2 linked regions of the Arabidopsis thaliana genome follow. The protein of the gene in region 1 interacts with the protein of each later gene in a pairwise test. Each region holds a gene or a part of one and is shown in the gene's direction. Other genes may lie near its edges. The genes, in order: AT4G03170 and MYB39.

The links.
Region 2: the proteins of AT4G03170 (region 1) and MYB39 interact in a two-hybrid assay, tested with the Arabidopsis thaliana proteins (one large-scale study listed by BioGRID).

What each region holds. Positions count from the first base shown.
Region 1 is NC_003075.7:1,399,120-1,402,319, forward strand, and holds AT4G03170 (AP2/B3-like transcriptional factor family protein), read left to right. Parts: upstream 1-1,712; coding exon 1,713-2,465; downstream 2,466-3,200. Other genes in the region: AT4G03165 (uncharacterized protein), read right to left, coding at 259-327, 655-979, 1,114-1,172; AT4G03175 (Protein kinase superfamily protein), read right to left, coding at 3,068-3,200.
Region 2 is NC_003075.7:9,880,813-9,885,268, reverse strand, and holds MYB39 (myb domain protein 39), read left to right. Parts: upstream 1-1,836; 5' UTR 1,837-1,900; coding exon 1,901-2,166; intron 2,167-2,501; coding exon 2,502-3,281; coding exon of another isoform or gene 3,282-3,285; exon of another isoform or gene 3,286-3,365; coding exon 3,366-3,402; 3' UTR 3,403-3,670; downstream 3,671-4,456. Other genes in the region: AT4G17780 (F-box and associated interaction domains-containing protein), read left to right, coding at 3,814-4,456.

The sequences.
Region 1 (3,200 bases):
GATTGAGTTTTGTTGTTAATTTTTTCTCTTTAGTTTGTCTATCCAATACATCCTGCTGTTTAGGAGAAAGACGGATAATATGAGAATTGGTAGAAGGAAAACTGTATTTACTCATGACTCATAAAAGGGAAACAAAGATAACATAAGACTTCCACATTACATAGACCCTAGTTAACACCTTCCACTTGAGAGTTTTTCTAAACCTCTGCATTATGATTCAACCAGAGATTCAATACCAAACAAACATCATCATTGTTATCAACAACCAAAATCCTTGATAATGTCAAATTCTTGATCATCATCATCATCATCAAAAACCAAACCATCCTACAAAATGATGGAAGCAATAACATTTATAAGAATATGATCTCACTAACATTTATGGACATATAAACAAACATTAAGAGTGCCTTAGAATCAACAGCCGAAGATCCATGACACCACTTTCTTCAGAAGAGTTACATCTGGAAATTAAATAAAGACATGATTTTGTTCCTTTTGGCTGAAACCTTCTACTTGGGTTAGATACTCTTAGACACTTTAGGCAAAACCTCACAAAACTCCACCTTGCCGTAGTGTCGAATCCTTTACTTCACCTTTCTAGATTCCTTGAGTTCCATCTTGGTCCCTGAGATCTTCTCAGGATTGTGATACTTTGAAAAGCTCCTTATCTGCTTGAAGCATTCTCCCTGTTGTCACTTTAGTGATATTCTCAGCTTGATAAGCTTTTTCACTCCTAACAACCTTGAATACCAACTCTGCAATCATTTCTCCTATGACTTGCCTGCTGGTATCAACCCCCTTTAATCTTCTTAAGCATACTATGATCTTGACCAGAGTAGACTCACTCTTAGAATCACAATAAACTTCAACAATGGCTTGTTGAAAACCATCTTCTGCAAACAGCTTTCTCATCCTGTTTACTACTTGTGTTTCTTCTGCAAAACTGAAAACAACAGCCTCTTGAACCTTTGTTCTCCTGTGACTTATGATTTCACCTGCTGTGAATTCAATTAGAAGAAATGATATTCTTTTGTCTTGATCAGTTTCATAAACAGATTTACAGTCACTTTTCACCTTAGGACTATTTTGCTCTTTGCTGTTTAAACAGACCTGCAGCTTCTTTGTGTCCTTCTCACTGCCAGCACAGAGTCATCTTGTTGACTACCCATGAAGCTTCTTATAACACCTGCAGGGCACGAATTTGCAGGTCTGATTCTTATCATGATGTTCTTTTCAGCTTTTCATCATGTTTGAGATGCACTTCTCAGCTTGTAAGAACCTCTCTTGTCTATTCTTACTTTTTACCTCTGACACACACTGGTTTCTCTTCTACTTTGAAGCTTAGACTGTTCTGCTGTCAAGACTTGACTTCTTCTGCATACTCCACAACTTTCAGTCCAGATTCTTTGTGAGTATTGATTTGTCAGTTGTCACTGACCTCGGATCAAAACTTGGCATATACATGTATGATATAGGAATTATTTCTAGTCATTAACGTTTTCGAAAATACACACATAAAACAAAGCAGTATTTTTACAGACTTAAAATAATTATTTTATCGATTAAAAAGTTGATTTTTTTTTTAATAATATAAATGGAAAACCTAAGTATAAAAGGAATTGATTTGCTAGAAAGAAGGAAAAAAACAAACCCTAAAAATATATAGATTCTTCAGCAAGGTAAGATAGAGAGAACGTGAGAGATCGATCATGGCGAATTCAACAGGTAAACCGACAAGTTCAACACAAGAAGATGAAGAAGCTACCTCGGCTACAGAAATATTAGCACAATTGATGCAAGATATTATAGATCGTGAAGAGGATATAGATGATGAAGACGATATAGATGACGAGGTTATAGATGATGAAGACTATGAGGTTGCGTCCCTTCCATTATTACAAGAAAGCCAAGCTAATCAAAAGCAGTCTAGGGAGAGGGAAGAAGAAACTGAAAAAAATCAACCTAAGAGGTTTAAGAAACAGAACATGATGAAAATAAATATCCATGACTTTTCAGAAGAAACTCTGAGGTTAATTGAGGTATGGTACGAAGCTGAACTCGATCCACAAGATATATTCGGCGATAATGAGGTGACGAGGCTATTCAGCAGACCGATAAAGAAGCAGTTGATGTCGAGCGATGTCGATAAAGATCAATGCATGCTCATGTTATCGAAGGAGCAAGTGAAGGAGAAGATGCTTCCTTTTCTAGAAGATTCAGAGAATCCGGTAAAGGGGATTGATGTTTCGGTGTATGGACCAGACGGGAAAGTTCAACAGATGGAGTTCAAGATGTGGAATGGGGATAAAACACCTGTGTTAACTTCAGGGTGGAAGCAGTTTGTGGAAGATTATGGTCTTTCGATGACTTGTGATTTTGTCACTGTTTGGATGTTTAGGCACATAAAGACTCGAAAGCTTTGCTTTGCTATTCACTACGTTAAATTTTCTTTAAGAGATTAATTTATCGAGTGGGATGATCTTGAAGACTGCTTTCTTGAATCCAAATTAGGATTTTTGAGGTTTTTGTTTCTTTCTTTTTCTGTGTTAACTAGTGGAACTACCAGGGTATTAACTAGGGTTTGCTTCCCTATTCGGTCTACAAGGATCTTGAAGACTGCTTTCTTGAATCCAAATTAGGGTTTTTGAGGTTTTTGCTTCTTTCTTTTTCCTGCGTTTTTGTTACCAGGATATTAATTAGGATTTGCTTCGCTATTCGGTCTACAATGATCTTAAACATAGATAATTGATATTTGATAAGGTACCAAAATGATGGATCATATATGGTCGTCACTGGTCAGAGAATATATGCACATTATATGGTCGTAGCTCCAACGTTTAATTTGATCTAAACTATGTATGTATCAAGGTTATAAAATATTGCACCACACAAGCTTTTTACTTACAATGTGAAATCAATGTAAAAACCGTTCTATACACATATTAATCTCACAATTACAGCGACTAAACAATACAAAAATCACAAGCAAGATTCCAAGAGGGAAAAAAACTGGAGAAACAAAGAATAAGACAAAACCAAACAACCAACACAAGAAGAAGCAAAATCAGTTGTAAGAAGAAGAAGAGAGCCAAGGGTGGTTAAGTGCCTCGAGAGCTGTTGGACGTCTCAAAGGATTGATCTCAAGTAGAGTCCTTACAAAATCTAAGAACAATTCATCACTAACTTGTAGTTGTTCT
Region 2 (4,456 bases), 8.5 Mb from region 1:
ATTTGAATTCGGAAGTCAATTTTAGCTACAGAGACCGAAAGAGTGAAGCAGCCATTGAATTACAAATTGACGACTATGTATCTGTTGCGTAAGCCGCGTAACAATAACATTACATAGAATTTTAAGGCTTGTCTTATCTATACTCGTTGACAATGTCAAATAAATATAGCATAGGAATTTTATACTATATGGTGCTACTAATTACATGGAACCCTTAATATATACGACTGTTTAAATAGTCAACGTGATAAATAGAGAGTTGGTAAGTGTTTGGTTTTAATTTGACAATGTGAAACAAGCCTGAACATTGACCCTTTAAACCATAACAGTAATTTAACGGTAAAAAAATAGTAATTAAGTATGTAAACAAGATCTTCCGTGAGAGTGAAATTAAACCTCATTATTTAAATTATACTAGTAAACATTTTCTCCAACCGTAGGAAATTTCGTTTTATGTTTTTTTTCTAATTTGTCGTGATCCTTCTCATTCCTTTGAAGACAACAAGATTCTATTATGAAAGATTTTTTCAAAGATCCAATAGTATAATACAACGTAATATATAATACCAACTTTATAGTTACACCTTCTAATAAAATCCACTTACTCGTTTATGTGTTCCTCACGCTATCGACTTAATGTTTGGAACCCGCGAGAGAAGTTCTTTAATTAAATTAGTCAATCGAAAAAAGCTATCCATTTCCTTTATCAAAGTAAATCAATTCGAAAATCTCGTATTAACTTGATCATCCAAATCCATATGTATATTTTCGAATAATATAAAACAGAAATTGAGATAACCTATACTAAAGAGAGTTTCACGTAAAAAATTTATATTTTCACGTAACAAAAAATTACAAAACAATTAAACAAAAAACAAATGATAATAGCATAGGTAATTTTTTGTGACTTGAAATTCAGAACGTATGGTAGGCACAAACGACGGTTTGGTAACAATAAGGAGAATAATAATAATCTTCGTTTGAATTCAAATAGAGGAAGAAGAAGCGAAAGGGTAGGCTTTGATCAACCATGAGACATTGAAGCAGGTAGAGATAATTCTTTGAATGCGGTGGAAGCAATCACATAATGATAAATGCAAGATTCCAATTTTGATGAACTTTGCAATGAGAACATAATATTGCTTTTCAATTAAATATTAGTTAAATATACCCTTCAAGAAAAGTAGTTAACAAGTTTAATTTATAATCATGCATTTATGCGAAATTCTTATTTGTAGGTTTTAATCTAAATAGAGAAATATACACATATATAGGAAATATTCAAAAATGATCACATGCATGTTTAATTTTTGAAAAATGTGGCTTTCTTTTATAACATAATTTCAATAAGATTAGTTTGAATTGCAGATTATGAAATAGTATATAATTTGTGATTGTTTTACAAGTAAAAGAGCGTAAGAAATTTGGTCCCAAAAAAAAAAGATTTTAGTAGGGAAATATCAACATTTTATTCTAACATAGCTAGGGCAAATATTTTATACATCTAACCCACAATAACAAAATCCATTAATGCATTAACAATTATTCGTATTCTTTTATATAAAAATTATTTGTTTGAACATCATCCCCACGAATTACTCTTCGAAGTTCGAACGCCATGACACATATCATATTATCAGTACCTAATCTTGATTTTGTTATAACTATTTTGGTTATTTAACTGATTTATTGAATGACTCATATATTGTAGACTTATGACACACTATGAAAAATAATATTTACACCAAATTCTGACGAATGCATACACAACTTTACTTTAGTTATGTCATGACTGCTTTTCACATCTATATATACATACAAACCTAATCGTAGGGAGCGACGAAACGAAGATCATATCTTCAAAAACCTCTGATAAGTTTTGGTTCTTGATATAAACAAAATGGGAAGATCACCGTGTTGCGATCAAGACAAAGGCGTGAAGAAAGGACCGTGGCTGCCAGAAGAAGATGATAAGCTCACTGCTTATATAAACGAGAATGGTTATGGGAATTGGCGGTCGCTTCCTAAGCTCGCTGGACTTAACCGCTGTGGCAAGAGCTGTCGGCTCCGGTGGATGAATTATCTCCGGCCTGATATCCGGAGAGGCAAATTTTCCGATGGAGAAGAGAGTACTATCGTTAGACTCCATGCCCTCCTTGGCAACAAGTAAGACTATTTTTTTTTCGTTAAAGCTTTTATGCTATTTTGTTAGCACTAAATGATTTAGGTCTCGCTTGTTTCAGACGTAATTATGTGTTCCTGTTTACATGTTTTTTTCATAATTTTAAAATATAAACCATTTTCAGTTCTTTTAAAATTAATATAAAGTGCAAAAACAAATTTACGTATGGATACCATTGCATAGTTTATTATTGCTATTATAGAATTCACATCCTCAAGACTATAGTCTAAACTTTAGTTTATAATTCTCTAACCATACAAAAGGTTAAGTTTTCGTTGGTTCATTTTACTAACGTTTGAGTCGAATTTTTACCATACAGATGGTCGAAAATTGCGGGTCATCTTCCAGGAAGAACAGATAATGAAATTAAAAACTATTGGAACACTCATATGAGGAAGAAGTTATTGCAAATGGGGATTGATCCAGTGACGCACGAGCCAAGAACCAACGATCTTAGCCCTATCCTCGATGTTTCTCAAATGCTCGCGGCAGCAATCAACAATGGCCAATTTGGTAACAATAACCTCCTCAACAATAACACCGCTTTGGAAGATATTCTTAAACTCCAATTGATCCATAAAATGCTTCAAATCATAACCCCCAAAGCCATACCAAACATCAGTAGCTTCAAGACCAATTTACTGAATCCTAAACCAGAACCGGTAGTCAATAGCTTCAATACCAATTCAGTGAATCCTAAACCGGATCCCCCGGCTGGTCTTTTCATAAACCAAAGTGGAATCACTCCTGAGGCCGCCTCGGATTTCATTCCATCTTATGAAAATGTTTGGGATGGTTTTGAAGATAACCAGCTTCCTGGTTTGGTTACGGTTTCTCAAGAGAGTTTAAATACAGCAAAACCGGGTACCAGTACGACCACCAAGGTAAATGATCATATCAGAACCGGTATGATGCCGTGTTACTATGGTGATCAACTACTAGAAACCCCATCTACTGGTTCGGTATCGGTCTCTCCCGAGACAACCAGTTTGAACCATCCCAGTACAGCTCAACACTCATCCGGTTCAGATTTCCTAGAGGACTGGGAGAAGTTTCTTGATGATGAAACAAGTGATTCTTGCTGGAAAAGTTTCTTAGAGTAAGATCTATCTCCGCATTGATTAACATAGTATATGATTTATATTTATGGTTTATTAACAGAATTGTTTTATCTAATCTGCAGCTTAACGTCACCCACATCGTCACCTGTCCCATGGTAGAACTGGATTTTGTTCGGGTCGTATACTCATAGTTTTAAAGACAATACATACACAAAGATATTCGATTAATACTCTTAATTTTGTTTGTTATTAAATATTGATTTAAAGTTTGTATATTTTCTTGTAAAGGAATTCTTATTTGTAATTTGTTCTTATTTGGTTTGGTTGTTGTGTAAAGAAACACATTGTAATCACCATTCTATTATTGCCCATTTAATAACAATATTTTGGATAAATATCTACGAGCAGTCTAATTTATACAATCAAACAACTCTATGGAAACATAACTTGATTCACAAGTTTAATAAAAATTCACCTATTTGCCAATAAGGAAATATATTAAAATGTCAATCTCTCGATGTTTCTAACAGAAAGATTGACAAAAAATCAAAAAACAAACAGTCACCAAGAATGGAGGAAGAAGAGAAAAACCCTAGTTCGATCTACATAGTTGCCGATCTTCTAGAAGATATATTCCTTCGACTTCCCTTGAAATCCATTCTCATATCGAAAAGCGTCTCAAAACGATGGAGATCAATTCTTGAGTCGAAGACGTTCGTGGAGAGACGAATGAGTCTTCAAAAGAAGCGCAAAATCCTGGCTGCTTACAACTGCAAATGCGGCTGGGAGCCTAGGCTCCTCCCCGGGTCGTCGCAGTGCAAAGGGAACGAAGAGATCGTCTATCTGCACTGCAACGCCGCACAACCCTCGTTTACTTGCGACGGTTTGGTCTGCATTCTCGAACCACGTTGGATAGACGTTTTGAACCCCTGGACAAGGCAACTCCGGCGATACGGATTCGGATTTGGAACCATATTTGGAGTAGGTTCGGCTTTCTCTCCAAGACATTGGGCAATGGGATTTGGTAAAGATAAAGTTACCGGAAGCTATAAAGTAGTGAAGATGTGTTTAATATCTTTCAGTGAAATTTGTGCACGTGATCCTGAGGTGGAGTATAGTGTTCTTGATGTCGAAACTGGTGAATGGCGGATGTTGAGTCCACCTCCTTATAAGGTCTTTGAGGTAAGAAAATCGGAGTGTGCGAATGGATCGA